Linked DNA regions of Drosophila melanogaster. The protein of the gene in region 3 purifies or fractionates together with the protein of the main gene of each other region. This does not show direct contact. Each region holds a gene or a part of one and is shown on either strand. Other genes may lie near its edges.

The links.
Region 1: the proteins of Mlc2 (region 3) and Ogdh purify together in Drosophila melanogaster (affinity purification with mass spectrometry, with the first as the bait; one large-scale study listed by BioGRID). This does not show direct contact.
Region 2: the proteins of Mlc2 (region 3) and Obp56d purify together in Drosophila melanogaster (affinity purification with mass spectrometry, with the first as the bait; one large-scale study listed by BioGRID). This does not show direct contact.
Region 4: the proteins of Mlc2 (region 3) and Acp1 purify together in Drosophila melanogaster (affinity purification with mass spectrometry, with the first as the bait; one large-scale study listed by BioGRID). This does not show direct contact.

What each region holds. Positions count from the first base shown.
Region 1 is NT_037436.4:16,951,600-16,960,226, reverse strand, and holds the start of Ogdh (oxoglutarate dehydrogenase), read right to left. Parts: upstream 5,406-8,627; 5' UTR 5,348-5,405; coding exon of another isoform or gene 5,285-5,347; 5' UTR 5,184-5,284; intron 4,902-5,183; exon of another isoform or gene 4,900-4,901; 5' UTR 4,685-4,899; exon of another isoform or gene 4,636-4,684; intron 4,464-4,635; exon of another isoform or gene 4,414-4,463; intron 3,203-4,413; exon of another isoform or gene 2,538-3,202; intron 1,129-2,537; 5' UTR 1,107-1,128; coding exon 1,011-1,106; intron 943-1,010; coding exon 805-942; intron 523-804; coding exon 343-522; intron 1-342.
Region 2 is NT_033778.4:19,700,723-19,708,116, forward strand, and holds Obp56d (Odorant-binding protein 56d), read right to left. Parts: upstream 3,194-7,394; 5' UTR 3,029-3,193; coding exon 2,981-3,028; intron 2,911-2,980; coding exon 2,563-2,910; 3' UTR 2,202-2,562; downstream 1-2,201. Other genes in the region: Obp56c (Odorant-binding protein 56c), read right to left, coding at 1-89, 248-346.
Region 3 is NT_033777.3:30,168,232-30,177,649, forward strand, and holds Mlc2 (myosin light chain 2), read right to left. Parts: upstream 6,321-9,418; 5' UTR 6,256-6,320; coding exon 6,253-6,255; intron 5,584-6,252; coding exon 5,341-5,583; intron 5,182-5,340; coding exon 4,759-5,181; 3' UTR 3,207-4,758; downstream 1-3,206. Other genes in the region: Rsod (uncharacterized protein), read right to left, coding at 1-149, 207-863, 923-1,475, 1,539-2,451, 2,767-2,836; CG1983 (uncharacterized protein), read right to left, coding at 8,286-8,354, 8,412-8,653, 8,713-8,860, 8,946-9,158, 9,223-9,315.
Region 4 is NT_033779.5:7,737,483-7,744,848, forward strand, and holds Acp1 (adult cuticle protein 1), read right to left. Parts: upstream 4,056-7,366; 5' UTR 4,000-4,055; coding exon 3,994-3,999; intron 3,876-3,993; coding exon 3,474-3,875; 3' UTR 3,080-3,473; downstream 1-3,079. Other genes in the region: CG7214 (uncharacterized protein), read right to left, coding at 6,726-7,148, 7,266-7,271. UniProt on the Drosophila melanogaster protein: Component of the cuticle of the adult fruit fly. Could be involved in thickening of the hard adult cuticle.

The DNA.
Region 1 (8,627 bases), on a different chromosome or scaffold from region 3:
AATATATAACTATTTGGTGAACCGAAATGGATGTGATCGAACAGAAAACCAAACTACTCATGAAGGAGTGAATGTCTAACTCTATGGATACTGTGGATGGCGTGGGTGAGTCAACGAAGTATTTTCTAATCTACCATGAATACTGGATTCGAAATGATTTGGTCTGGGTAAATGGACAATTGTGAACACACATAAGGGGGGGCAAAGGCAACTCTACTGATCATAATCTAAACATAAACATTAACTGAACCTAGGAGAACAAAACAAAAAGAGCCAACTCTGGCTGCAATCTCCACCGATCGGCTGGAAACCAAGTAATTGAGCCAGCACGAGTCGACATACCTGGTAGCTCCTGATGATGGCCTGGACGGCCAGATGGTCGTCAATGGTCTTGGAGTCGGGCGCAGCGCCGGCGACGGCTCCTCCAAAGTTGAAGGCGGTCAGCGGCAGAGTGTTGGCCTGCACGGGCGCCAAGTTGGGCGGGCTAACGTAGCTGTTGCTGCGGAAGTACGCGTCCCAGGACTAAAAGAAGAATGAATCAATAAGGATTTATTGTCATGTCATTTATTGTGAATGCATTATTCCAGGATCACCGTTTTATTAGGCTTTTATTATATTTTTTATTGCAGAGAAGTTTGGTTCCCTTTAGTATAAGCTCTTAACATTTTTAAGTGGTTTTTAAAAGGTAATAAAGCACTTCCGCTTCAGAAATAAACACTAGAAACTGGTTTATCGATGACTCAAAATCAAGAGTTGAATTTAAAAAGGCGCAGAAATAAAACCCTGTTTAATAGGGATACTTACGGTGTGCACGGAAGTGGGATCCCGAAGCCAGGCGTTGTACATCTCCTCCACGTAGGAGGCGGTGCTGCCGTTGGCAAAAGGTTCGGCAGCTGCGGAGTTGTAGGTGCGCACAGCGGCCGCTGCAGTTACCTTGGCCATCTGCCAAAGATTGGGGGCTCATTAGTTGGGGTTTTCTTTGGAGTTATGGTTATATCGACCAAACTCACCTGCTGACTGCTGCTGCTCTTGAGCAGCCATGTGGCGAAGTTCTTGTGCGCCATCGGCGACAAGGCCAGGCTGAAGGCTGTGTGGGCTCTATGCATTTTGTAGCTTTACAAAATAGAACTGAAAGAAAGAGACAATCTTAGTGAAGATCTTATCAGCCCACTATTATATCACTTCCAACTGATTAATCGATGGCGGCTTTGTTGACAAACAAGCCACGTAAAAGATAGTGCCAGTGCCACCCCCTAAACACCGAACTCCTGACCCTCGGCTGCTGTAAACGCGATAAGATAGCCTAGAAGTTTTTACGTCATGGTCATGTTCTGGGTTTTAACTGTGTCACCGATCAACCGAATGTTCCGAACTCGTTGCCAGGCCAGTGGGCCAGTTATGAAATTCCCTCACGCTCACGAAACAAGTTCACAATTGAATGGATGCGGGGGGAATTTACATACGTCCAAAGCCAGACTAGACCGTTGAGATCGGGGGATCGCTTGGTGGAAAAAAGCACACGTGATGCCATACGCCAGTCCGTCGCTCGCTTTTTTGATAATCAGCCAAGAAATGGCGGAGATACTTTGGCCCCCAAATATAATGGTGAAATGGGGGGGTTTTATATAGGGAGAGCCAGCTGCTTTTTGCGCAGTTTGTTCGTTTCCCAACTTTTAATCAGTTGTGAATATTTGCCCTCACTTTTTGTTTGCCGTCTCCGAATCACAGTGAGCATTCACCTGGGTATTTGGCCCAAAACGAGTTTGCCCAGATAACGCAAAGGCGTCAAGAGCGAATGTCCCTGGCTTGGAGTTATAAATTCCTGTGGTCCATGACTAAACGCAGAACCCTCTAGACGCAATTCAGTGATAAGAGGAGGGCGCTTAACCGGCCTCCAGTCATGCCACGCCAGCACTTCCAGAATTTGTCAAGTTATTAATCAAATTATTGGCGATAGGCTAGCGCGTGCGGATGTCGTAATTGAATCCCTATCTAAAGCCAGTCGTGCAAAAAATACGTACAAATTGAATGAAATTCGGAATGAGAACTTATGGGGCAACGAATGCGTGGCCAGGTCACATGTCTTATCGACGAACGCATGCTGGCCAGACGATCCAAATGAAGTGATTACAAAATACTGGCCCCCAGATATGAGAGCACAAAAAATGAAAGAAAACAATTGGAACGGCTAACCGGTTTGGAGTGGTCAAAGCTAAGTATTTGAAAGTGCATCACTCGGGTTATTTGATTCGGTCATAGCTACAATTACAGTTACATTGTCCACCCCACAATAGATAATTCAATTTAGCAGCCCGACATTTTCTTTCAGTGTCATTTATCTGTTTGCTTGTTTTGTGCTGGCGCTTTTCACATACTGCTTTCCCTGCAATTATATTCTGCTCGACGTCGATGTTACGAAAACACATTACATAAGTGCAAAAAATAAAAAAACGAAGAGCTGCTCGCGTGAGAGCAGCTGAGTTATTAGAACGGCCAGATGATGGAGCTAATTAGTGTGAAATAGTCCGACGGATGAGCTTGCAGTTCCACAATTCGAAGCATGACTGGAAAAATCCATTAGGCTTTCGGTCGGTGGAAGGTCTAGTTCCGACTGTATATGCACTGCACCGCGGTGGAATGAATCAAGACACCGTATAATATATACGCATATACTGCATGCGATTGCTCCAAAAACCAACCGAATATATGTACTCGTCGTACTCGTATCCGTATCTCGCAGATACGCGTCAAACGTTTGTTCGTGCTGAGTGCTGCGCGTCGACTGAAGCGAAAATACAAAAGCGGCCGCCTTCGAGAGTGAAATATAAAATTTAGAAATCGAATTTGCTCTTCACGAACCGCCGAGCGGGCTGCAAGCTTGGAAGAAAAATACAGAGTGTGTGTGTGATAAAAACACACAAAGCGGCCACATGACAACTCGGCGTTGTATCTTTATCTTCTGGCAAAAGGGGGTTGGGTCGGTCGCCGATCGGTGGACCTGATAACAGTCAGGTACATACTCATGTATCTACATATTGACCGCACTTCCTCCGTTTATCTAACCGCCTCGCCTCCTGGTTGTTGCCCATGTCTTGCGTATTTATAGCCCGAATTTGTTTACAACAATCCCAAAGTCCGTTCGTCAGCCGGCATTTCAAAGAATGCCGCCCACACAGCCAAAAACGAGAGGAGAGAAAAAGCGGTATGATATACACAAAAAAATAAAATGTATAATACATTCATAGAACTTGTTTATCACATAATACCAAAGACAACGAGAAACAATATTAAAATACAAAATGTTTGTATATCTAAAAGATTTCTCAACTCAAATTAAATTTGGTACACTATCCAGAATCACATCTTAACAATTTCTTAACATATTTTTCACAGTGCATTTAATAGGTCAAGCGCAAGTGAATTTGTGCGTGTATCAATTACCTTTCCGCTAATCAATAAAGTTTCAAGTTCACACACCAGACACAACCATTTACCTTGATGCGAGTGCGAAATTAATGAACACTCAAGAGGCACCGATCATTAGATACTCTTAGTTATTTTAGAATTGTTGTATTTTATAGTATTTAATAGTTTAACTTTCTATCGAAAAAAATGTATAATGTAGAAAGTTATATAAAAAACTATTATTTGGTTTTTGTGGCAAAATGTAAATTTTAATGTTGCTCTAAAAAATAGCGGAAATGGTAATTTGACTATCGAATGATAACTATGTAGATATCAGTGTACCAATTAGTCTAAGACTGAATAAAAGCTATTATCGTAGTTGGCGTAAAACATTAAATTGCCATGATACCCTATAAAAGGGTATAAGAAGGCAAGAGAGACGCACTCAGTGGGGTTTTGCATTCCATTAAAAAAAAACCCTGGACGAGCCCCCTCTAGGCGAAGAAGAAGAAGAGCGGTCCAAGGGCATGAAGTAATTGCGGAGCGGGGTGCGAGGGGGAGGTAGAGGTTCCGTAGTACTATAATACTTTTGTGGTTACTATTCCCGATCTGGGGCCTTTGCAGCCGACTTATGATAGGTTGTGGCAGATGATCCACATCCGTCAGCAGAAAAAAATAACTAGTTGTGCTGCCCCAGACAATGCGGCCGCGCGCTTTCTTTGCGGTTTGCTGTTGCTATTGCCATTGCTTTTGATTGATGATTCATTGGGCGGCGGGGAGAAAAGCACACGCGGCACTCGGTCAATTGCGTCATCAATGCGGCAAGTTAATTTTACAAAAAACCACATGTGACGTCGCCGACGTCGCTTGTTTTGCATTGCGAAATTTCACTTTTCATTTGGGGCGGCCGGCGCAAGCGCTTTTCCGCCGACGAGACGCCCACCTGCACTTTTCCAATTATATAAGAACAGTCCTTGAAATTAAATGGGGAAAAACGTTGGAAAATACCAATCAAATGCCTGCTAAATGCACTTTTTAGAAAGGGGAACACGCGGCAGTGTCTCATTGATCGCTGAAACGATGATGGTAATTCCTGGAATTCCACATGATGCAAAAGCGGACCTCGAATGTGGGACAAGTGAAAAGCACGCGAAATGCGAGTTTTCCGCTGAATCCAGTACTAAGTCTAAATGGACCATAGCCCCGCAGACTTTTTGCAAATTAACGCACATGATTTGATTATTTTTACACTAAACTTGCTTAAAGTTTAAATATTTACGTTTTTACAGCCGAAAACTTTTGCGTTAGTGGTGGGACTGTTAATGCTAGCGCACGGCCTGGACTCTCAAACATATCGAAACGCTATCGTTTTGTGCCAGATATCGATTATTTTTACAGTTTTGGTGAGCGGTAACACTAGCATACAGAGCTTATTCCTATGCGACTGCAGATGGCGCCACTGTGGAAGATCATGAAAGGCGCGATGTAAAAAGTCTGTAAGTAATATGTAAAGAATTCAAAATTTTTCCGTAATCTACTTAAACCATTTGATACCTTTAATTTAATAATATAGGTTCAAGATATTATTATTATTATTATTATTTTATTATTATTATTTTTTTGTAACCACGATTGGGTTGACTTCTGCTTGACACTTTTCCATTTTGAATATCCGTGAAATCATATCAAGTTATTTAAGAAACATTGAAACGAAATTTTCAAAAGAAAAGCGAGAAACATATGTTTAGTAATTTCCAACAATGTTTGAAGCCACCTACATTGTTTTTCTCAGGAATAGTCGCAATAGTCGCGGCCTGACACAAAAACTGGAATTCAACTTGCACTAAACCATTTAATTGCTACGCACACTAGACAGAGACTAATATCTGCTGTATTGATCCAGACAGTAGCCGGTAATTTGGTCCGATATACAGTCAAAGACATTGTAAAATCCCAAATAAGAAGACTTTACTCGTTGAGTTTTTGTAAGAAAACTGATTTTATTTGGAAATATCTTCGGTTTAAATAGGTGACATGAGAATCGCATCTTAAAGTAAATGGCCTACGCAGAGGCCTACGTAAATAGTCCCCGCCTTATCGAGGTCCCACGCTCGGGCACATCTGCCTATCTTGAGCGGCGAGGACCTTATCTGTGGTCTCCCACTAAGGGACTATTTTAGGAGGCGGGGAACGATCTCAAGTGACTGACTCATGTAGTGTGCACTTAAATTACATGTTTTTGAGCAATGCACCCATGTCGCCTTAGATAACAAAATCCTAAATATAATTTATCGCTCTCGATTCATTTACATAAGATATGAACGGAGCCCAAAATTGTAAGTCTTTAAATATATTCGTGTTCATGTGTGAACATTCTGCCAAAGGGCCAGCAAAGCTGAGATGTACATTAGTATATTAGTTGCATTTATAACAGTAGTGGACTGTATTTATTTGATATATGTTCATTTATTTTGCAACTAAGATTTCAATGGGCCTAGTTTTTCTGGCTTTTAATTTTATTGGATTACAATTATGGTTTATATTATTTTTAATTCAACAATTTGTACTTAATTAACTTATTTTAAACATTTTGCTTTTTCTATGTAGAAGTACATTTTCTATTAGTGGACTGTATATTTTTATTTGTTATATTATTTTATTGTTTATTTACTATTGATATTTATAGTACTGGCAACGGACCTGCAAAGGTTATTGCTTGCATTCTTTGTTGCACAGCACATTTCCGTATGAAATATATTATTAATACTATCATTAGTATTAAAGCAATAATTAATCCAGCATGTCCGGAAATATGATGGAAATGTAAATCTTTCAATTTTTGATGGTTCTCTTTCATAAATTTAATTTCATTATTCAATCGTTCAAATTCCTCAGTATGATTTAATATTGATAGTTTCAGCGGATCCCAAATAATCTTCGGCACTCCACTAACTTCTCCTATATAAGGTGTTGATAATAATTCTTCACTTTCGGACTGAATGTTATGGTGGGCAACTAGAATTTTATCGTCGGTTCTTGCCGTACAATATGGCGCAATGCTTAAAACTCCTTGCTGAGGCAAATCAAACAATTCAATTTGAGAGCCAGTACATTGCAGACGGACTTTTGAATTCGCAGGAACCTTAAACAACCAACTACTTTTCTTTTCTAACTCTACCCAGTAACTTTTAGAGTCGACTACTGTTTTATAGATGCAGTTCGCCGCTTTATCTGGCTTTAGAGGCTGAATCTCACATGCATTATCATTCGCTGAATTCCAGGGCCAACTTCCTTTGCATATTCTCTTATTTAGTTGCCATTTCTGACATTGATTTAATGTGGCTTCCGTCATTATGTGATAGGAATCTATCTCAAAATTATAAATTAAATATTCGGACGTTGTATGCACCATTATTATCCGATCTTCATTTCGAATTGGCACCGGAATAAGCCTGAACAATTTGGATGGATGCCTGCTAAACAGAGGCACTTTTGCACTAATGATCAATTTATCGTCGATGAATAAACCCCTGGCTGTTAACAGTGTATACACCTCCTTAAGTTCCGTACCTGACCGTTTTCCTGGAATTACTAGGTTCTCTGAAAGACTCTGCTGAATTTTGGCAATTTCTTTTTTAAGCTGATTTGGCCTGAGAATATTTGTATTTAGCCTACCGTGATTAATATCAATCAACAGGCTTATAATGCCTGCTTGAATTTTTTCGCCTTCTTCAATCAATGAGTGTAGCTGTTTCGTAATCATAAAGAATTTTATTGATTCCTTATAAACATAATAATTTTCTTTAAGAACTTCTGTCATGTTCTCAATTCTTATTTGCATACTTCTAAAATTGGAGTTAACATCTTCTGTTGTTCTCTTTAATAGATTAGAAGTTGAATCAACCACAGATGTTTGTTTTTGAATTAGTTTATCAAGGTTGTTCTGGTTATCTAACAAATTCTTCATATTTTCTTCTAATTGCTCTCTATCATCTTCATCCATTATACCAAATAAAATATGATACAAGGAACCCATAAATTCGAAAGGAGCACGCTTGCTTCTAGATCTAGACTGCATCATAAACAATTTATTGTTTTCTTCAAGTTCCGATAACTGACTTTGCATATTATCTAAGACTAGACTACATTGCTCTTCAAAGCTATGAAGTCTTTCGCAAACTTTCCTCATACTTTGTATAAGCGCATTACCCTTTGTTAACATTTTAAAATATGGATCCATTTTATAATAGATAACCAAATTCCAAGAAGTACTCACAATCTCAACATCTCCTAGCGGGTCTAGATATATTGCTGAGGTTTTATTTATTTTGTCTATAGAATATCTTGGTGCTATATCTTTAGGTAATGCGCTAGAAACTTGACAACTTAACACAAACAACAACATTGCCATAATGATTCCGATCTTGGACATTCCCGATGTCGCTCTAGTTCGTCTTTTTGGCTCTTGGTCAGCCTCATTTTTGTCAACAGACTTTATTCCTTCCAAGGGACAAATTTTAGTAATGGGTCTAGTGATATATCCTTCCTGCATCTTTACTTTAGCCACTCGGACCTTATCATCATTCCCCTTATGCACCTTTTCCACCTTTCCTAAAGGCCATCTTGCAGGATGACAATTCTCATCCTTTAATAAAACTATTTGCCCTTCTTCTATATTAGGAATTTCCTTTTTCCATTTATTCCTTTGCTGGAGCGTATGCAAATATTCACTTTTCCACTTAACCCAGAAATCTTTCTTTATTTTTTGGATAAGTCTCCACCTATCCAAATTTCCGATTTTTTCATCTTCCATTGGTTCGACTATTTCTAAAGGTGGTCTTCCAATTAAAAAATGACCTGGTGTTAAAACTTCTTGTTGGTCCTTCTCACTAACTATAGTGTATAATGGCCTTGAATTTAAGCATGCTTCTATTTGACATAAAAGAGTTGACATTTCTTCGTAAGTCAAAATAGTGTCGCCGATTATACGCTTTAAATGGTATTTCATTGACTTAACTCCAGCTTCCCAAATACCTCCGAAATGAGGTCCTGCCGGGGGAATAAAATGCCAATCAATCCTGTCCTTTTCAAGCTGCGCTGCAATCGTTATATTTTCTTGTATTGCATTAAATAACTCTTGATCTAATTTTCTTGCAGCTCCTACAAAATTTGTTCCGTTGTCTGAATAGATATTGGAACATTTTCCCCGTCTAGCAATAAAT
Region 2 (7,394 bases), on a different chromosome or scaffold from region 3:
TGGCTGAGTTTGTTTTCTGTTCCATTTGGCGGATCTGGAACCAGGGTTCGTGTCATCGACATGTTCAGCGAGACGGAAAGCGATCGGGTCTGTGGATGAAATGTATTTTTGTAAAAATTATATATTGTCTCTATGTATTCCAATATGTCTTTTTAGTTGTAAGAAAATTTGATTCACTTCCCTTTTTTAATATTTACCTTGTAAATATAAAACATATAATTCCAAGTACTACATAAGTCGAATTTACAAAAGATATATAAAATATGAAAAACATTACCCATGCTTTAGAAACGAATTCACTAAGAGTGAGGCAAAGCAATGCCATCAAACTGGCTCGAAAATACATCTAAGAAATATTTTTAAAATTTGTTTGACGATTTACTATAAAAACTTTTCAACTATAGAGCCTGTTGCGATTTAACAAAAGCCTTTTATAGAGTCGTCTTTATGGAAATCGGTTTAAATTGCTATTTAATTGTCGCTCAAATCGATTGCCAAATCATGTTCATGCCTCACTTGCTAGGCCCATCAGGTAATCATATTCAGATACATCGCATATAATGTGTCATGCATCAGTGGATTGCCAATAGCATTTTTGGGTGAGAACTCAAATTAGCATTCGCCAAAAACACTCATCTGACTTATTTAATGGTCTCTATAATTGCACAAATACAAAAAGGTTTGCAAAAAGTTTCAGGTTCAATTTGGTAGATGAATCTACAAAACATTTAAGTACTGCTCTATAAAGGTGTTTTAAAAACGGTACAACCATTGTTGGCAATTTCAATTAAAATAATCATTGTAATTTTTGACTAATTTGTTTTTGCAAGCAATGTGGGTTTTTCTTGTTGTAGTTGTGGAAACATAAAAAAATACAACCAGAAGTTTTAATTAGATTATGGAAGTGGTTACAAGCTGTATGCGGAAAAATGATAGTACATAGAACACGTTTTCCTTCTAAGATAAAATTATTATATTCCTTACTAGTCTAGTTGTATTGCAAACAAATTCAATCACATTAGTTCAAGCCACAGCAACTGGTTTACTTGAACTCCTTCTTTCTTTGGACCACTCTAATTGACGGACTTAATAACAGACTTCTGCTGATAATCGGAAACACAACCGCAGCATCCCCAGCCACATCACATATTGGTCTTTAAGATCAAAGAAACTTCACATGGACGGACAAAAAGCGAGAGACATCGGAGCATGAAACAAGCAAGTGGCAGCCACCCTGCAGCGAAGTTTTTATAAAATTAAATTACATTAATGTGAGAACCGCAGGGAAAGCCTCCCCCTTCAAAGCATCAGCACTCAACCCCAACTCCAGCGATATCCTTGGTCCTTGGCCATTGAAAGCCAACTAACGGGAGCAAGACAAGTCAAACAAGACGGCCAAGACAAAGGCTGATGTCGAGCATCAATGTGCTACCATCTCACGCGTGTTGGCTCCTTTGACAAGCCGCCATGGCTGTCTACTTAAATGCATTAGCTCGGGGGGGTGGAATCCTTCGATTGGGCTGCCTTTTTAATAGACATTAGTAAACGCATCAGTGATTGTTTGTTCGGTTGGCCGGGAAGGCCATCGGCCATCGGCCATCAGCTCTTGTGCAGACAACTGCAACTGAAACGGATGCTAAATGGAAGTGACATTACAGCCAGACCGACCCCAGGAAGTGACAAAATGAATTATGGACCCTGGCTGCGATCCAAACTCCCCAAAAGCCAAAGTCAAAGCCAAAGTCGGAACAATTGTTCCCTCCGATGCCACCTGATCCATGTTGAACCAGTAAATGCAATTGCGACACGTGCTCAATGAATGTTTAATGATTTGTTAATTGGATTTGGGCTTTTAAAAACACGGCTCCCCGTGTCCAATTCATTTGCTCGAACCCCAACGCATCCTGTATCGCCGGGATCCCAGGTCTTTGTGCCAATAAGTTTGCCGTCGCTCATCAATATTTATGCCAAACATGAGCGGCCAAATGCCTCTGGGATCGCCGCTCTGTACCAGGGACTTAAGCCCCTGACGACGGTCTGACAGTGGTTGGTCCTTAATGACGGCCCACTGTTATGCAAATGGGTACGCGGCCAAAACGCAAATGGGTCATACAGTGGAGCATCCATTGACAAGTCGAATATGCATAAGTAATTATGTATAAGAATTTCACCTTAATTTCCTTTGAGACACAATAAAAGGCGTTCTCTGTTAGGGGTTTACGTAAGTTATTTTCCTGGAAGGTTCCTTTAAGTTTTTGTTGGACAGCTAAAAAGTTATTTGATCAAACGTTTAACATTAATATTTAAAATATTAACAAATGCCAAGTGAGATTCTAGGAGAGTTATGTAAAAGCTTTAAGCATGATCTTCTATTTGGAACATAGTCTCGCAAAGGTTTCTTGTCAAGTTTTTTTTTAAAAACGAAATATATTCTTGAGTTTATTATTCAAAACATTTACAGATCTAAAAATTTTGTTTACGAATTGATATACTGAATTAAAACAATATAAGTAACAAGTCACAGACAGATTATCACACAGGAGAATATCGGAGATTTGGCGCTTAGATGTGGGCGCGATTCTTGTAGTAGCACTCGAATAGCTGATAGGCAGTATCGCACTTATCCGCTCCCTTGGTGGCATCACACTTGGCCTGAACGGCCTTCACGGCATCCTCGCCGGCCAGGGGTCCCAACTTGGCCAGAACGACATCGGGCTGGACCTCACCATTGATCAGGAATCCGATTTTCTCCAAGAAACAATTGGCGAAGCATTTCACCTTGGGGTCACTGTCATCGAAATTGCCGTTTCGCAAGGCGATCGCCTGATCCTTGGTGATTCCCTCCTGCTGGGCACAAAGGGCGCCATTGGCATGGGCCACAGCCTTCTGCTCATCGGATAGTTGCAGCTCCTATAAGATATATTCAAAAGATACACTTAGCAATACTACCCCTTTAAATCAGAAACTATTTGTAACTCACAGCAGCCGAAATGGCCAAAATGACGGAGAGGACAATCAGGAACTTCATTTTCGGTAGAGATGTTGTTGGAAACCCTTTGGTATCGAAACTGTTGAATTTATTCTGTTAGCATCTGCCTTTTATACGATTTTGCATGCAGCTTCGTCAGAGTTTTGTTTTGATTATCGCTTTTTGTTTTCGCTCTACTCCGCTGATCACACTGTATAAGCAATTATTACACATACACACGGCAATACACCGGTTAGTTTACTTAAACCCTCTCCGATCTTGTTGATAACCCGAAACTGACTCACTTTTTTTTACCATTTCGGTTTAAAGTTCAACAGATACTCGAATCAGTAAATGAAGCAAGTTCACTGCGGCTTTCCATTGTACCTATAATTGGCCCTAATGCCCCAGACTCGGGCTTATTATTAGGCTAAAATCGCTTCAAAGCCATAATGTAAGTGCTAATTGTAGTTTCAGATTTTCCACCGATTAAAAGTGTGTTGTACTTCCCAAGGGTCAGAGTGCCCAGCGAAGCGTCAACGTCAACTAATTTGATTTAACAATACACGTAACTCCAAAACCTTAAACTTGAAATACAATCTAACGTTGATTTTTATGGAGGTGTTAAAACAAAGTGCATGCAAAGCATGATAGGGGAGTTTTAGAGAATAGAATATAAAAGCAACATTTTATATTACTTACAAAAATTTTTAGTAACACTTAAAATTTAATATAAGTTAACGGAGGCCATGAGATGCTCGAATTATTTGTAAGCCTTATATAAGGTCTGCGCTTAAATATATTTCTTCATTCCCTATATATAACCCTTATAACCAAAATATATCTATTAATACCACCATTATAAAATTTGTCTCATATTAATAAGGCTACCTCATTACCGCAACAAATTATTTCTTGGTGATTCTAATGCCATTATTAATAATTAAATAATTTTGTTAATAGACCCTTTTTTTGAAATAAGTCTGATATTACATGATAAAATTAATGACGAACGTCTGATTCGTCAAACCTGTTTTAACTTTGTCAGTTGTTCTCCTACCTATTTTTATTGTTTTGTTGGTTTTTTCCAAAGTCTGAAGTCAAGTGCGGTTATCAAAGTCCAAATATTCAGATGACTCTCAAAATCTCAAGTCCGTGCGATCAAACTAAACTGGTTTGCAGATTAATTTGTGGCACAGATGTGTCTAGCTGATTAACAATTAAAGTGACATTCGGGTAATTTGCTGATGTATGTATATATATGTATATATTTATGCATGAGTTTTAAGCGGAACCGTTTAAGTCGGCTAACTGCCCGAATTATTTAATTATGGTAATAGAGGCAGCTACCAAAGTTGATGCCTACGTGCCAGAACTTTGCCTCATATATTTTATCAATATTTACTGCTGACAGCATCGATAATTCATGACCTACTCAAACTATATACCGGTGCCTGGGTCACCCCCTGGACTTTCGGAGACGAAGTTACCGGAGCGAACTGGTAAATAGTTACGCACGCCAGGGAAAACAAATGTCAGAACGATTATTGCGGCCCATCGTCGCCTGCCAGGGCCATAACAAAAGTAAAATATTTAAATAGTAATAAATTCATAATGTCATCGTGTATAATGCCCCACAGCTCCTATCGGAGACCTTCCAACGATTTATAGACAATAATAACTGCAAACACGAAGCGGTGGCTGACTCCTCAAGTAGTTTGATTTCAGTTCAAGGAGGTGGAGGTAGCCTATTCAACTTTTCCAGCTTTTCCACCTGGTGAAGAAGTTCGCTGTCCCCAAAAGTTTCCTGTAGTGGAAAGGAATAAAACTGTTTTATCGTAGACATGATAGAACGGGAATGAATGTCGCATGCGACTCATATATAATATAAATATTAAATACTATATGGCATGCCATAAAAATATAAACAGCACATAAAACGACAATGAAAAACAATGGCACACGTTATTAAATATGTGTGCCCGAAGAACTGGTAACGGCTAATGAAATGTCATCGGACCCGAGGGCTCAACTCAACTCAACTCAGCTCAGCTCAGTTGAACTGAAATGCAAATGTCACGCGAAAAACTATTTGACGACAACATTACGTTGACATAATAATAATGCCGTCAACCGTTGAAGAACCCCAACTTAAAGGCAAAAGCTCGGCTAGAAGTCATATGCAAATTTTACGAGCTTCTCATGACCGGTCATAAAAGTCAATTTATTAGCTATGGGAAATTAAAAAGGAGAACAATTAAATAAGTGCAAAGCGTGAATTTGATTACGGTCAGCGCTTACTAAAGTTGCAATTTTCATAAATCATTTGGACTAGAACCAGAAGTTTTATTTAGACCAACAGATTAGAAAAGGAAAGCAAGGTTTATAATAAAATATATTCAGCTCTCACTAAAAGTTAATAATACCAATTCAGTTAATAACTGGAAATCGGTAATTGTGGCAGTTGTTTCTCTACATATCTGATGAAAATCAATAATTTAAAGATAATAAATGCAAGCGGTATCCTATAATGGCAGCTGTGTAATTAATTATAACCAATGGCGAGATAGGACCTCCAGCTCCCAATTCCGCAAGCCTAGCAAAAAGCTACAGAAATTCAATTAGGCTTATCCCATGCAATAACAACACCGGAAGCAACAACAAGAGAGCTACGGAACAGCTGCAACACCTGCGCAATTAATTAGTGTTTGCCGCATTAATTTCAGAAAATAAAAAGAGATGGCCGAAAGGAAACCAGAGCCACCACCAGATGGGATAAGATAGGCACCCTTTAGGGTCAAAACCCAGCGTTGGCTAATAAATACAGAAAGGCCCCATCCAGCGTCCTTGGCTCTTCCACAACTGGAGCAGAACATTCTCAATGGACCACAAAGGCAGTGGAACACTAAGCCACTTAAATCAAATAAAGCAAATTCAGTTAATTTAAATTATAATGAGGCCCAGTGCCAGCGCGGAACATTGAATACTATTTGCTGATGAAAAGATGAAACGTAAGCTAAAAACTTGTGTAAATATAGTGGCCTATTTGCTAAAGATAGGTAGGTTTTGAACTATTTACGTTGGGATTAAATTTTATAATGTCTCATTTTTTAATTGCTGTAGACTTAGTGCTACAAATAATATGTATAAAAAGTATGCTACAATCCAATGGGCAATCTTTTTTCCCCAAGGCACGCATTAAAACTGGGAAAGATATCATAATTTCCACTTCTATAATTTGTTTACGATTATGGCCGCATGCAAAATAAAACGCATTTAAGTAATTAAGTCATAAAAAAAAGTAGCGTGCTGGGTTTGCTCCATAAAAACCGACCCGTCTGCAATAAAATGCCAAAAACAAAACAATTAGGCAATTAAATGTCTTGGTATTACCAAAAATTTTCGTTTTGGTAACAAAACGCGTCATAAAATAAGCCAAAATGTACTTGGCCACCGGGAATACGAGTGGAGGCCCTAAAAATGGATCACAAGTGGGGGAAATTATGTGAAAATGTCTGCACTGGCCGTTTTTTGTTCTTTTCTTGGAATCCGCTCTTGTCTCCCTTTGACATCCCAATAAAAACGCAAAAGAAAAAGGCGATTGCCAATGCGTATGCGAGTGTTTTAGTAATATTTATTGAATTCCAGTTAACGAACCCAGAACCGATGGAGCGTTGGATAAGGGACAATGTGCGAAACACAAAAGGAGGGGAAAAGTATAGGGACGGGCCAACAGTCAAGCAAAGCTTACAAAGCTTTTCAACGCACATTTTCCGAAACCGTCGCCGCATCCCGAAACTGCTGAAAAATTCCGAGCTCTGCAAAATGAATTCTTTTGTGACAAGTTCAATTCGGTTGAGGGACAAGTCAGTGGCTGGGATGCGGAGTTCATATGGAACTCCGACCGAACTGTAGCTGCTGCTGCTCGAGACCTCGAAACCTCCAATCCTCCTATCCTCCTATCCCCCTGTCATATAACGCATCAAAGACGGGCCAGGTGAAGGAATGCAGTGCTCGTTCTGTAAGAAATTGAAAAACCCAAACGGGGGGGAAGCCGTCGAAGCACCCAGCCCGATGATGGGAAAAATGGAAAATCTCAAGCTGCGAAAATCAGCAGCAAACGCGCTGCTTTCGTTCGCATTATTGTCATGATGCTGTGGATATTTTGCTGTGCGCTCGGAATTTTTAATAAACGTTTAAGTTTATAACATTCTCAGCTTGGTATCGCACCTCTGTGTAATCTTTATGCCACATATCGACGAGTCGGCTTATCCTGCAGCTGGCGAAAAGAAAGACTTCTTAACTTGGCGAACTTCAGCCAAAAGGTAATCCAGGGGCATAAAGAGTCTCACATAAAACCAACTAATTAGGCAAAGCATCTAATTAGACGCACAACAAGGACATGCGTCCTTTTGTGCCGCCTCGT
Region 3 (9,418 bases):
AACTTTCCACTTAGATCTCCCATCTCGTACTGATCTGTGGTTCCCCTTTTCGGAGGAGGTGATGACTTTGGACTGACGTCGAAAGGATTCCAGTGACCATATAGAGTGGATGCCTCGCAGGGAAACGCCAAGTTGGCTTCCACGGGTGTCTAAAATTGAGAGCTTAGATTCACAATGTGTACATTAACAGGTTTGGTAATAAATACCCTATGGATGTAATATCCTGTATTATCCTGAAGCCCCTTAAGTTGCACCTCCACATTGCTGACATCATACTCCGATTGCTGGGTGATTTCCACCCGACCGCTGACTGTCAACGAATCTCCATTTGCGTACCACTCCTTGGCCACCACTTTCCTCCGGAAATGTCCAATCACGGCCGAACAAGCCAATCGCTCTCCTCTGGCTTTGGGTCCACTATCCTCATAGATAACAAGAGACTTACCCAGGATACTATGTCTTCCGGAGAGCGGAAGATTGCCGTCTACAAACATCTTCCTACTTATTTTCTGGGCAACTCTTCTGCCTCCAGCGATGGTTAGGGTTCCCGATCTGGCATCCATAGCACCCACTCTGCACATGGAGGCTAAACTGGGTCGGCAGAAGTCATCCACACTGCGATTGCCCCAATCCACTCGGAATGGATTATATACAGGTCCTGCGGAAATGCATCTCTGTTGCCAGTCATAGAAGTCCTTTCCAGGTGCATTGCTGTGGATTGCCCAACGATGATCGTGGGTAGTATTCTGCGTGGATCCATCCGCCTGGATGAGGTACTCAAATAAAACGGTAGTATCCTGCCAAGGCTGCTCCGCCGTCTGCCGGAATATGACTCGACCCACCACAGGATAGCGGAAAAGGACCTAAGATATAAGCACAAATATTAAAATACTTAGCATGAAATACTATTTTATCTACCAACCTGAGCAGTAACCATGTTCTGCTGGTAGATTCCATTTCGTTGATATTGACTTAGGCTCGAACAGCCCCAAATCATCTTCGTAATATTTGTGACATTAGATCGATTGAAAGTGTATATGACCAGACTTCTTTGGGCAATGCTATAACGTCCTTGAAGGGGCAGAAATACGTCCCAGTAGAGGCCATTCAACTCGGAGCTCGTTCCTGGTAAGACATACTGATGCCAATAACCTTTATTGCGACCCTGTAGCTTCCCGGAGAGATCGCCCACGGGATACTGCTCCTGGGTTCCATAACCGGGTGGGGGTATATTCTCGTTTATCTCCCGGGGATTATGCATGTCCCCAGTGGTCAGGCAGTAGTCCTCGTGACCCATCCTCGAAGGCACCGGCGGCAGACTGTGAATCCGAAAGGCGGCCACATCTTCGGCGAACTTGCGACTGACATGCTGGGAAAGCGGTGCTCCCAAGGTGAAATTGAGGAAAGTTGGGTCGAACTTGGAGCGCTGCATGAAGGTAACCTCTCCCTTGACACCACCAGAGTTGATGAAAGTTCTGCGGTTAACAAAAAAAAAATGGTTATACTTTCAAATAGAATGGGTTGTAAAAACCACTCACTTATGTGTCAAAGGTTGGACATGGCGAATCTTGGTGCACGCGAGGTACGAATCTGGATGTTGGTTGTCAAAAAGAACCAGGTAAAGAGTTCTATGGGGAATGGTAAGATCCGAGGGCAGCAGGGCCAACTGAGCATCCCTAAAAACGCTGCGTTGTGGCGAACGAAGGGCATTCTTGGCCACTCCAATCCTGCCTAGGCGTGCGTCCAGATCACCTATTCCCTTGCCAGCTCCACTTCCTTGGGGATCGAAAACTTGCTGCAGGAAGTTGCAGTTGTCCTCCGTGCGATGGTGGTCATGTTTGAAAATGTCCGTCACATAGATCTTCCAGTGGTGCTGGGTGAACGGTCCAGCTTGACTTCTATCTTCCTCCAGAGCAGCTGGTTGCGCCCTAATATGGTAAAGATCCGAGTAGATTAGAGTATCTCCAACAGCTCCCTCCGCCGGGGCCAGCCAGCGGAAATGGACAGATCCAGCGACAGGAGTATTAAAACGAGCCTCTGCCATGTGCTCCACGGAACTCTGGATGGTGGTGATGGTGGCACAGATCCGTGCATTAGCGTTGACCTCTGTCAGAACCAGGGACTTCCCCCAGATTCCCCGATCCCCAATCAACTGCATGTTTCGCTCCCAGCTGGAGGTCTCATTTCCGGGCAGTACCAGGTACTCCAAGTCCTCGTCAAAGGACAGGACCTGGGAGCCCAAACGACTCAGTTCGCAGCGTTCGTCTGGGTCAATATTGGAGTAGTCCACGGGGAAGCGACGTACTCCCCAACTCCATACTTGGTCGGGGTACTGCAAAGTGGCCTCCAGGTTGGCCTTGATCTCCACCGTGGTGGCATTCATTTGCCGAAAAGTGATCTCTCCATGAAGACCTCTTTGCGAGATATAAGCGATCAGATGCTGTGCATCAGCTGAGAGGCACAAAAACGATAGTGAGAGTGGAGTGTTCATTAGTAAGGTGAGATATCTCATAGGCGCAGAGAGAGAAATATGAATGAATAATATAATTATATGCATAAAATATAGTGTTGGAAATAAAAGGTTAGTTTACTTTCGAAGCAAAGTATACAGCATAGGATAAGGGCTTAGTTCGCCCCAAATGTATATCACTTTTCTTGCAGTGCACTCGAGAGTGTGGTGAGATATTCCAGACTCAAACTGAGATACTTTCGATTTCTTTGGCCACGCAATATCTGCATACAATGCAATCGATTCCCAGCACTCACCTCCACTCATTAGTGATGCAATCCAGCAGATGGAAGCCATCCACAAAAGCTGTCGTCCACCTGGAGCCATGGTTCTGGTTCTACTTACGCCCTGAGTAACCAGATTATTCGAAAAGCGCTGTTCGGAATGGATGTGGCAATGACAAGCGTGGCTGACTTTCACATCGTAGTGCGCATGCGTGCGCCTCGAAACTCGACTGACAACTGGTCGCTCGAAGGTTCGTGTTCGGTTTTGGCCATCGTCTTGGCCAAGTGTGGGGAGTTTCCCACTGCGCTCCACAGCTTCGTTCAGCTCCCCAGCTTTATCGGTGGTTTTGTTTTGACCTGGAACTGGTTTCCGGCACGGCTCAGCTGAGTCAGATATGCAGTAAGGTACTACATACCCCCAAAAAACCCCTTCCCTGAGCAAATCAAACTTCAATGGCTTTGTGTTTTTTTTTCAAGACGACTCTCTTTTGCTTTATTCCAAGACTTCGTCATCGTATCATCATCTAGTTATGTTGTATAAAAACAGTTACTTGTTTTCTATTTTTAGATGTTTTTTGTTTTACTCTTGTTAATATTCCTGACCGGGTTAAAAGTTTTCTGAATTTTTTCATCTTGCCGTGTGTAGCTTAAAATATACTGAAGTAAAGATTCGATTTGCATTTAACAACTTGTTGCATGTTGCACTTTGAAATGGATTGCAGTGTGCGTGTGAGTGTGGTGTGTGCTCGTGTCGAGTGTCAAGTGTTGAGTTCTGAGTAATAGTAGTATTAGATAAATAAGGCAATATATTGTGCTTCCTCCGATCAGCCTAGGTACTAGTGGTTATGGGCACCTTATTCAAACTAAAACCCCCCCGACCGTCTATTTCCCGGGGAGGCGTATCATCCTGGAAGCTTCAAAACGCATTAACTAGAAACACTGGGTTTGTTATTTGAATGTTTCTTCATATTTCAGATATCATTTTGGGTTGTTTGTTCGTTTGGGTGGTTTATATCGCTGATAGTTCATAAGCAGAAAGTTGTGGTGGTGGCGATGGTTAAGTTATATAAATTCGCATTAAACAATTTGAGTGAATGAACTTAATGTTTCTCTGTTATTAGCCTAACTCTCGATAACTTGCAATAATATTGATAACTCATAACTGATAAATAAGTAAGTAACGAACGATAGATATGTATAACGATAAATATTTTGTGATAGTAGGATATATATTTGGCTCTCAGTTAAATGATCCCTAACAATAGTTTGTTATGGGTTTACCTCTCTCTCTCCTGGTCCTGCGAGATTTCTTGAACGAAAAACATTGTAACTCACAAAACTGGCTAAAATTCATATTCATAATCAAATTGAACTCGCGGGTGCAGGGCTAACGAATACAGCCCGGCTACCCATCAACATCGTCTTCGTCCTCCCTACATCATAAATCATACATCATACATCCTCATTTCGATTCCGATCTCGATCTCGATCTGGTAATCATCTCTCTCTGGGGGTTCTTCTCTTTAGTTCTTCAACGGACAGCGATATAAAAATAGACACGGCTTGTTTGTTGTTTTTAAGTTTTTTTTGTTGATTTTATAGGTGTTTTAAATAAAATAGATAGCATATGTTTTATAAATTTTACGTGTAAAATTTAACAGTAAATCAACTAGAAAACTACGCGTCAGTTCTTGCCGTGACAGTGAACGTGATCGTAAGTATCCCTAACTATGATGGACAGATACATGGTAAATGGTTCTGATCGCTACCAAATGTTGCTGAAGAAGTTCTTTTGAGGTTCAGTTTGATCGGATGTTGCTGATCTGGTTGGTGGTGTTGTTCTTGGTACAAGGTACTTGGTGATGGTTAACAAAAGAGATTACAAGATACTGAGAATCTACATATGTAAACGAGCGTTTCTTTTAATTACGTTTATTATTACTGATTTGACTGATTGATTTAACGTTCTGATTCTGGCTGTAAAATGGATGTTGAGTTAGAAGTTAGGATGTGATCGGATGTGCCTTAGGCGGCCTCCTCCTCCTCCTCTTCACCCTTGCCGGTGAGCATCTCGATCAGGGCGGCGGTATCGATCTGGTTCTTGTCGTCGATCACCATCTGATCGTAGGCATCATCAACCTCCTTCATGGTGAACTTGTCACCGAAGTTCATGAGCATTTCGCGGAATTTGTCACCGTCGATGAGACCATCGTTATCGAATGTTTTGAAGGCAGCAATAACAACTTCGTCTTCATCGTTGGCACCGGAGGTGGCCATGCGGTTGGCGAACAGGGTCAGCAACTGGGTGAAGTTGATCGGACCCGAGGCCTCGCCCAGCATGGCGTCCAACTCCTTGTCGTTGGCGATCTTGCCGACGGAGTCGAAGGCAGCGCGCAGATCGTTCTTGCCAATAATACCGTCCTTGTCGGCATCCATGAGTTGGAAGGCCTATCGATCCCGCACAGAGACAGAGAGAGATAGAAAGAAAGAGTGTGTTGGTGACTTGGTCCTTGACAAGTGCGATAGATGGTAGGATGACAGGATGATGGGATGGGTCTCGAGTGATCCGACATATGATGCGATATATGAGTAACGCCCAAAACTCACCTCCTTGAACTCGGCGATCTGCTTCTGGGAGAACACAGAGAAGACCGAGGAGCCAGCGCGCTTCGACTTCCTGGAGCCACGGGATCCGCCCGACGCTCTCTTCGAACCAGTGGCAGATGCGGCCGGGGCAGGAGTGGCAGCTGGTGCCGGGGTTGCTGCCTCGGATGCGGCCTCAGAAGCGGTTTCGGAAGTACCACCCTCTTCCTTGGTCTTCTTCTTCTTAACCTTCTTCTTCTCATCGGCCTGAGGAGAGAAAAGAGGGATTTATTAGTAGGGACTCGTGGCAGAAAGGGGGTATCTACTCGGTCATTAGTCGTTATAGTCCGTCTTTAGCTGTCACTTGAAAGTTCCGATTCCGGAAGTTATACTATTCGTTTTAGGGATCTTAGTAAGTTATCCGCGTTGAAGGATCTTCAATTGGAATTATATGGGTAGAAAGTTATCCCTTAATAGGGATTTAAGGGATGTAAGGTATGCTTTTCAAAAGGCCTACCCGACTAGGCCAGAAAATATGTATCTGCAGGCGAAAGTTTTCCACTCATTCTAAAAATATACCGGACGCATATTACGTAAGCTCTCCGCCGTGCGCCACTCGCTGTCTCGCTCGCTCCCCGGCACGGATATCAGATTACATTACTGACGCGTAACACTCGGATCGGATCGATCCATTTATAGAACTTTCTGCACTATTCTCACTGCGTATGTGAAGAAGGTGAATCGGGATCACCATGATTTAGAGTTATGGTTCACTTCATATTCATATCCTCGGGGTCATTCTCGAATGCAAACGATTCACTGCACTGATCGGCATTATCCTTGCTGCATATATCCAGGCACTGGGGTCCAGTTCGATTCGGTTCGGTTCAGTTCGGTTCAGTTGGATTGTAGTGATATTCCGGGACGAGTCCTTACCATGGTGCTGAACTTTGATGTGTTGTCTAATCGAGTCGAGCCGTCAGAGCACACTGAATCTCTGGCTGATTTTATCGCCAAGACAATGATGTTTTAAGAGCTCGGAGGAGCTCTTCTTCTTCCAAGCATTGGGGCCGCTCGTGGAGGTTCGGCCACCTTCGGGGATCTTCGGGCGCCATTCGCTGTATCCGTATCTGCAATATTCGTGCTGCCTTTTTTAGTATCTGCAAGGCGAGGTCCGCCCAGGAGATCGGCGGGGGCGGGCAGCTACAACTATATAGATATAGCCATGGCTATAGCCTATAGCCTATGGTGTAGCTGTATCCGAGGTGTTTACTCATCCATCGGGCGCTGCTCTAATCAAAAATCTAATTTTAAAGGCAGAGAAATTGCTTTGGCTTTGGCTTTTGGGCAGCAGAAGCCTATACATATGTTCGGAATTTATTTCGGGGCGATTCGGATTGGTTCATATAGCGGCTCTCTGTTGTGGATACATTTCCCCATCCTCGGATTCTGTTTTGTTTTCTTTTATTTTGCTCTGCTTCACTACTCGGTGCGTCTCTCTGCCAGAGGCCACCTCCGAAAGGTGTCCTCTTGCGCTGAAATCACCTACATTTTCCTTGGCGGCGGACAGCATACATATATGCCAACATATAGCATATGTATGTATTCTATTCACGCCTATATACTCGATGTTTTGCTCGCCTACGTTCCTTTTTCTGTTTTCGAAATGCCCCGCACATTGTGCAATATGAAGAGCGCCGAGAATTCCAAATCTATAGATCTGTATATACATACACGGCGATCGGGCGGATTTCGTGTCGCATAAATATCCAACGAACCCGATATTGGACCAGAGTTATTTCGGCAACAAATGTGGAATAAACATCTGACTTTATCTATATGCTAGTCATCCATGGACATTGCATAACAATGGGAAGGCTGTAGGATTTCCATTTCAGATAAACTTTGGGTACCACGTCATGATACATTAACCTTGTTACTAAAAATATTAAACACTGCAGTATTCAAGCTATTTAAGCCATTTCAGTAAATAAATAGTAAAATTGTGACAACTTCAATCGACAAATTGGATTCTCAAAGCCTTATTTACACATTTTTAGTTTTCCAAATAAGCAGGAAATTTCAATTTAGTTTCAAGTGTTACAAAATATTATTATTCATATAGTTTACATCTATTTTTTTTAGAAATATTCATTCTGCAAATTATTCGACTTTTTGCTTTCTGAAGGAAATAAGCCAAAACATTTTTCAAAACAATATTTACATGAGGTCATCTTTGCCACCTGAATTCATTACCCTCGCTGGCTAATATTATAATTAATGAAGGCTCTATGCAAATTTATGAAACGGAAAATATCTCAATTAACGATGGGATCCGTGCGAGAAAGCCTTCATAATTCATCGATCAGACATAATGAAAATCGATTTAGGCTGCAGTCATCTTCGTGCTCCATTGAAAGTGATTTTCGGCGAAAACTCTCATGGCGCAGCCATTTTGGCACGTAACCAGGCGACATTTTGGCCTGGGGCCAACCAAAACAAGAAGATATAGAGGAAAACTGCCCACAATCTAATACGCAAAGTAGCATTGAATATACGCGAATGTAAAAATAGAACAAAGTGCAAAAAACGAGCAAGACGCAGTCGAAGGAATGTTAAAACTAATGAAAACTGCGGCAAATGTATTCAATTTTCCAAGGTGCAGAATGTTTCTGGGAATATTAATGGTTTTGACACTTTGGAAGCATTGTTTATAAAGGGTTAACAATTAAATAAGGCAAATAACAGCCTACACATAACATTTGTTTATCTCAAGGGTTTCTAAATTTAAACGCCAAATCATCTTTGATTTGCTGATTTACTACGTTAGTCTGTGTGAATATACCCAGTTCCACCTGATACATGAGCGAACTTGGAGGTGCTCAGTCGTGAGGTCGGACGTCATTGGGAATCGGCTGTATTCAGTGCCCGCAACGCATTCCTATCACATCTCTGCTCCGCTCCCCTTCTTACACCTTGGCCGCCCGATGGCCGAAAATAGAAGAGCCAACGCGCACCACTGTGCTGCCCATTTCGATCTGAGGGAATAGTTTCGATTTTAGAGACGGAACTTGCTCAGTCGGTTTGTAGCTTACCGCCTTGTCGAAGTCGTTGGACATTCCCATGGAGACGAGCACCGAGTCCGGGGCCAAGGAGTGCGCCTCACATATGGATCTGTGCACCTGCATTAGGGACACGAAATCCGGATTGGGTCCATTGCTGTAGTCAAAACCAAATGCACCAATGGTCATTATGCCCATCAGGTTGAGGTGTTTAAGGTTGCTCTTGATGTACTGGTAGAGTGCAGGAGCATCTTTCGCCTCTATTCCGCTTTTAACTAGAGGTCGATTTAGGAAAGTAAGTATAAGGTCGCTAGTTTGGGGGCGTGAGACTCACCGTCTTCACCACTAGTGTTGATCTGGATGAGCACCTGCAATGGCTCCTCAGGGGTGGGCTGTCGCTTAGACCAGGCTGCGTCCAGTTTGGTGGCCAACTTCTCGCTATCTACGGTCTGGATCATATGCAGATTTGGCACAGAAAGGATCTAAATAAACAATGAGATCAATAAGATAAAGAGAGGTGCTGATAAGAGATAAACGCTGTTATCCGATCTTGGTTATCCAATTGACCTTGTTGATCTTGTTGCTTTGCATGTGGCCTATGAAGTGCCACCTGATGTCGGGGCACTTGGCCAGAATGTCCGGGTGGCGGCTCTTCTCCTCCAGCTCCTGTACATAGTTCTCACCGAAGTCTCTTTGTCCGCCCTCGTAAGCCTCGATTACGGCCTCCGCTGGCTTTGTTTTGCTTACAGCAACGAGCAGCGGCCTGGCAGCTTGAACTTCCTGTGCGAGAGATAAAGTTTTTCATTTAAGAGGTCATTAATAAGTGGGTCTTAAGTTAACTTACTTTGGGCCGCTGGAGGAGCACCTCGTCTATGCGCTTCAACACGTGCTGCAGGCCGGCTTTGACGTCGAATTCCGCCATTGTGCGTCTTAGCATTTAACTAAAAAATGCGAGATGAATAATATTCTTTATATATAAGTACAGATAAATAGTAGTTATTGTTCTTACAATTGGTTAACTCAATGATAAGAAACAGCCC
Region 4 (7,366 bases), on a different chromosome or scaffold from region 3:
TTTAAATAGTCCGTACCTATTCTATTATCAGTATCGCCAAACAAAGAAAATTCCAACTGAAGGGGAAATCAAAACAAATGAAAATGTATTTTTAAAAACAAAGCAATCTTATTGAATCGAATCCAATCGAATCGCATCGAAGCACAACAAAGCCGATAAAGCTGAATTCAAGAGAGGAGAAGAGAAACGAAACGAAACTAAACGGATGGCAAGCTGAACGGGGGCAATGGACAGCTGATGATTCTCTTTCCCACCCCCACTTGCACTCTCTCCGTTCACAATGCCGGTGGCCTACGGAGCGTATACTTGACATTGCTCATACGTACCATTGGCTGCGAGGAAGATTTAGCTCTCGCGTTTTCTCTGCCCAAAAACATTTCAACAAGTAAAGCAATGAAAAGAGAGGGGCGGGGGGAAGCGTGTTAAAGGGTGTGTGAAAATCAGCTGTTTTTTGTTGTGAGCTGTGAGAATTGTGTAATTCAAGCAAAATTTTCTGCCTCCACACTTTCTGCCTTCAGTGTTTACGCGTATTGGACGCCGATGACGCTGTTGATTTGGTGTGGCTCCATTTATGAGTAAATTAGTGAGTGCACCGAATGCGGCGAACGTGTCCAATTACTCGAATCGAAATGTTTACAAACAAACACTCAAGTGTGCGCAATAAATTTGCGAAAAAAAAACATTTGAAATGGCCAAGAGGAAAGCACAAACAAATATATGCACCGTGAAAAAATGTTAGTTTGGCATTCATAGACAACCATGACATTGGATTTAACAGTTTTAAAATAAAGAAAATTAATGTAAACTTGATTCTTTACAATTTGTCTATGACCTCTGTGGACCATTAATAAAATACCTAAAGAACGGACTAAATATGGGAATGACCACAGGACGACCGTTTGGATGTTTTATCTCTCAGTTTGTTTGCTTGCGTTCAAAAGACGCAAAAAGTTGGCGTCTCAAGTGTTGGCCAAGTCTGTGGGCAGTACCTTGCCCTCCCATCGCAGTTCCAACCCATTTTCACAATTTTCCGCCCGTCAAGAAGACAATGCATACATAGATAGTGATATTGGCGCCACATAAACTCAATATGTTCCCTTATCGTCCGTTTGTAATCTCAGCCATATGAAACTCACATTTGCATTCACCTGCAAACAGTGCACTTTTCTATTACTTTCAGGCGACACGTTTTCCAATCACGCACAAAACCCCTGCAAAACTGGCACTGCGCGAGTGTTAATCCGAACCCGAATCTCGATCTGAACCCGAATCGGAAACTGCTGCGACTGCGACGCACGTTGCCAGCACGTCTGCCAGCGAACGACTGAAAACTGAAGAGTAGAAACACAGCCAGATAGTCGCCGAATGTCAGGCGAATGCGAATGTTGCTGCTGTTGCTGCTAGTGTTGCTGTTACTGTGTTACTGCAGATGTTGCTGCTGTCTCTTATCGCAGACGCTGCTGTGTGCTACTTTTACTCTTCGGGAGAAATGCGAAGAGTGACAGAAAGAAAGAGCAACAGCTGTGGTTCAATTTTCTAAATGCTCTGTGTTGGAAAGAAGTTATATTAAGTCTGAAAAAACATATAAGCTATCAGTGATACACAGATTTTATAGACTATGTGTTTAAGTAATAATAAGGCCAATAATATTACCAGAACATATTAAAATGTTCTTATATTTTAAAACTAAACATATTCTACCAAAATTAATTTTGATTACTTAAAAGAAAATTTAGCTTGCTAAGTCTCAGTATGTCAAATCGACTTCGAATTAAGATTTTTTACCAACAAATTGCTTTCGATTATAACATTAAATTAAGTGGTAATTATTTAACCCATGTCGGATCAATTTTCTAAATTGCATATAGGAACGTTCATAAGAGTACGTCAAATTCGTATTGACCCCCTGCGACTTCTGTGTGATTTTCTCTTTGCCGGTCAATTACCGGCTATTGCCAAAACGAAGCCCAGTAGGAAATTTCTTGCCATTTTCGAGTCGGACTCCAAGTAAGGGGAGACTGTCGACACGATTGACGCTTGACTCTTGGCCGCCGGCGTACAATAAATCATTGCAGTCAGTTCAATACAGCAGATTTAATCGCTAGACATTGCAGAGAAAAAAAACGTTTAATCATTTTAGGAAAATATTACAAATAAAATATTTTACCGAAATTACAGAACTTTAGAGGTAGAGCATAAAAGTTTGATCTACATATACACTTATATAATATTTAATAATAATAATAAATTTTTTATCAATTTTATTCACAGTTCTTTTCAGTGTATTTAAAAGGAGGTGTGGTGAGAAAAAGTTGAAGGAAGTTCGGGGACTGTTATTGATACACTGACGCATTTCATTCAACGGCCAAATGCGGCAACAAAAGCGAAACTAGAAACATGAAAAACAAGCGCGAGACTTTGTAAACCGCTGTTGGAACTCAAAGTGGGAAAAATAAAAAAAAGGGGCTGGCTAAGTGGGAGGGGAAAATCACGCAACAGTTGGACTCTGCTATAGCAAATCGAAAGATATAGGGGGTAAGGAAGTGCGGGGTTGATTCCATTTGATTTGTGGCTGGATTTCGCATTGAACGCAGTTGGGGACTTTGCGCATGCGCATGAACTTGACATTTCAGCATTCGATCCGATGGCTTTGCTCTAATCACACTTTATTATGGAGGAAGGGGTTGCATGCAAACAGCGTAGTGTCAATTTGAGGCAATGAGTCAATTAATTGTATTCGGAGGCGTAAATATGCGATGATAATATATTGAGAGCGAACGGGCTTTGTATACTAATAGATTGAGCCTGTGGGAATTTGTCAGGCAACATCTATTTATTTTAATTTTGGCTTGACCAAAACAAACTTTGTATACTTACATTATCATTAAATAAAGCTTTATCAAACGAAGAATATATATTATGTAATGTTCTGTAAAGCGGAAAAATTATAATGAGGAACCATCAAAGATTTGTTAGCAATAATGTTAATTTGTCGCAATTTTATTTATATGTGGGTATTTAATATTCCCAACTTCGCAATATTATTTACACATTTCCCAAAATAAAACGTTTATACTTTAGTTACATTTTCTTTATTGGCATTATGTAGATGTACAAGCATTTCCTTCCAGAATGCACTTGGCATTCCGTTCGAAGAAAACTTGTGATGGTTTTTTCACAGGATGCTTGGAAAATGTATGCTAAATAAATAGGTAAGCGAGAGAAATAGGCAACCACAAACGTGGCCGGGTGCTTAGGTCGGAAGAGAATTTTGATGACTCCTTTTTTTCGGGACAGGTATGAAAGGATCCTGTTCAGGTGCTAGGTGCGAGTACCCTGTCTATATATGGCTATATATACAATGTATTTACATAACGTGTTGAGGGGTCTAAAGTTCGACTTCCCCATCAATGGCAGTATCCGTGGCAGAGGCAATGGTCCGATCGACAAAGGGATTGAAGGCGGTATACTCCTTACAAGGTTCCGGGTGCGGGAGCGGCATTGATGGAGGCCACCGACTGGATGTGTCCGGCCAGAGGAGCGGTGTGAATGGCACCACGGGTCTGGGCAGTGTAGACGCCACTGTGAGCCACTGGGGCCACGACGACTGAGGGAGCATGAGCAGCAACCACAGCGGGAGCAGGGGCAGCAAGCACGGCAGGAGCGGCGGCGTGGATCGCTGCCGGAGGCCACGAAGCCACGTTCACGGCAGCAGGCCAGTGGGCGGCGGGAACGGCCCAGGGAGAGGCCACCACAGCGGGTCCGGAAACGGCGGTGTAGGACAGTCCATGTCCAGCCACCTGGGACAGCAGGGGGATCACAGACGACTGCACGCCCATGGCGAGGGCCAAGGTGAAGATAACGGCGACGGCGAACTGTATAATGCAAAATATATTGTTTAGTCTTATGAGTAAAACTTCCTTGTTGAATTACTAATATTAATCCAAGCTATGTTGTTGTTAATTATCAGGATAAATCCGTTTGATAACTCACTTTCATGGTGCTGTTTGTGGGTTTTGGGTTGCGCTCTGGTTGAACTCTTGTTCTGAACTGATCTGTCAACGGAGCTGCCGGCCAGTTTTATACCCAACTGCTGACCACATCAGCAATAGAAAACCGCCAAGTCGGAGGGTTCATGAAAGTGAGAGTTCACACACCATGACATGGTGGACACGGCTGACACTGCTCCGCATGCATATGATCAGCTGTAATGACATGCCTCGGATCTGAACGGATCGTATCGTATCGAATCGGATCAAACGGCTAGGTTGAACGCCTTCAAAGCGGTTGAATTCAAGAACTAGTTCTACATCTACAATACTTTGTTATTAGCTTATTGTACTAATCGAAATACGTACATTTATTTTCTAAAGAATAAAAAAATAAATGAAGAAGAGAGGATTGTGACAAGAAGTTAGGTTACCTAATTTGTATCTTTAAGGTGGGGTTTTTAACAATAACCCTCTCAAAAATGAACTAACTCGGTAGTGAACCTCTATTTCCGCACCACTCAAACATGCACCACCACAGAAAATGCATTCTCAGTGAGTGTGTTTCCATCTCCGTGGCCATGTGGGTCCAACTGTCTAAGTGAATGGCCCAACCCACTTTTCAGCTGCAGTTCCGGTAAGTTGATTTTCACTCCATCACACCGCCACTTTAATTACTTAATTGTTGTTTGTGCGCGATTAGCATTTCAGTATGATTTATAACACGATTCCAATTATGGAGCGATCCGTATCCTGTATAAGGCCGGCTAATATCTGATTTATGTGTCTTAAGGGTTAATGATATGCGAGGAACAGCCCACTTTATCGATCGATATTGAAATATAATTATGGGAAAATTAAGAGCTGAAATATATTATTCCATTTGAACAGAACTGATCTATAAATCTGTTTCTAATATTTTAAAGAGTTAATATTAAAATTTTAAGCCGAATAACAAAAAGTAGATTATAATCAATTGGACTAGTGTAACTATTTAGAATTCGAATCCAAGAGACAAAAGTTTGCAATTCGTTTCATGACATCTACAAATTCGTGTGTGCATAAGCCGCTTGTTGGCTATAAATTAACCAAAACTTGCAATTAACACAGCTGAAAGGCATTCCAGGTTAATCCGCTTTTCCAGGCTATTTCCCTAATTATTTCCACCTCCGATTACCTAATGGAATCGACATTGCGCAACATTCAATTGTCTGAAATGGGTCTGGAGCGTGGGTTACTGCAGCCCGGAACAGCCCACATAAATATATCGCAAACCCATTAGGTGCCGCAATTAAGTCAGACTTTAGTGCAAATTGAACCCAGCAAAGACAATTCAATTATGCCCAAAAAAAACTGCATGAGGGGAAAAACTTGTTTCGATGCTAATGTGGGTGAGATCGATTGTCGAGTCTTGGCAAAATCTCTGAGACACCAAAAACACCAAAAAAGTTCAAGTTGAATTCTTTCGGTGCGATGATAATCTGTAATTAGCGACTACTATAATTTACTCCATGTGCCAATTATTTTCCTATACCAGAAGCCCAGGTGCTGACTAAAATTGAAACTTGGTCTTTGTGCGATTTGTAATTAGCGCTAAGCGTTTGCATAATTAAGCATACGCCCTGTGGCCCAATACGTGCATATGATCTGGCTTTGTACCAATTAACTCGATCTAATGACCATTGGCCCCCAGCTTGACTACCGTTCAGCTGTGGCCGATAGTACTGCCAAGCAAATTAGGATTGTCACTATAATAATAGACACTTAAAGACAAAGACACATTTGATCTAGACATTCTTGGCAGATATGAAATCAATAGAACAATTTGTCGGCTTTTCAAGGTCGAGCAGGTGCAAACTAAAGACCCAAGGTTATAATTAACTAATATGCAGTTTATGATCTAGATGTATTTAATGAGAGCTAAACAATCATTCCAATATGGGATTGTTTGAGGTTGTCCAAGTAAAAGATTAAAACATTAAACATCTTGGCATATCGTACAAAAGTATTAAGCTATCTAGCAATCATAGCTTAATTATATATTGAATTGTATTTAAAAACAAGTCCAAACCTCAGATGATGCCTCAGATGAAATTAAACCTAAAATATACATTAACAGGTACTTTTATCTTTTGTTAAAGAAGAATCTCCTTAGTTGGATAGTAGTAACTTTTTTTTTAACCCCATTTTTGCAAAAACACAATATTTATGTCGTATAAAAAACGCTGATTGCTTTTATTTATAACGTTTTCGTCAATCTTTACATTGTTGCAGATTACTAGATTACAATGGGATATTTACAGGTTGACAGGGCATATCTAGGGCGATATGCCAGATAGTGATAGATATAAGAAGTATATAGTGATAGATGTAAAGAAGAGGAAGACAGGATAGCAGATGGGAAGTATTGAAAGAGTTCTCAAAAAAGAAAATTAACATGCTGTCGTTTGTTGGTTTGTTGTAGTTGTTGTAATTGCTGTTGGACTTATATATTGCTGAGTGCGTTGGAAAATGTCCAGAGGATATGGACATGGACCCAAGATCAGGATCGTGTTCGTATCGAGGGGGTTGGGACTAAGAGCGGTGTGCTTAACAATAAGTGTACAGAGAGAGATGGGTATTCATCCGGTTGGAGTAGTCGTGGGAAGTCGCTGAAGCAGGTGGAGATCAGTGATACTGCCATCCATCCGCTCCGTTTGGCATCGGTTTGGGTATGGTTTATCCGTCACTCCCGACTTACAGAGTTCCGGGGGCAGGGGCCACGTTCACGGAGGTGGCAGAGTTGATGTGTCCGGCGAGGGGAGCGGTGTGGATGGCACCACGGGTCTTGGCCACATAGACGCCCTCATGGCCATGGCCGGCGGCGAGACCGGGTCCCTGGGCCAGGTTGATTCCGGGAACAGCAGCGCCGTGCCATCCGGCACCGGTCAGACCCCAGGGAGCAGCGCTGGCATGGACGGCAACGGCGGCAGGGGCACCCCAGGGAGCACCGTTCCAGGCGCCGTTCCAGGCACCGTTCCAGGCACCATTCCAGGCTCCGTTCCACAGACCGGCTCCATGGGCCACGGGGCTCACATAGGACACACCGGGAGCGATCTGGGCCCACGAGGCATGAGCTCCAGCCAGGGCGCACACGAACATGACTACGGCAACGGCGAACTGGAAAACGGATTAATTACCGAAATTAGTTAGATCACCAGGATAATTTCGTAGAAACTCTTGAAAATTTTCAAAAAGTTTTTGAAAATCTTAGAACACTCCTGCCAATGTCCTCACCTTCATGTTGTTTGTTTGGGGTGGGTGTTGAAGTTGGGTTGTTGAAGGAGAAGTGCTTGTTGAATACTCAGCGAACGAGTTGATTCTGATTTCGACTACCA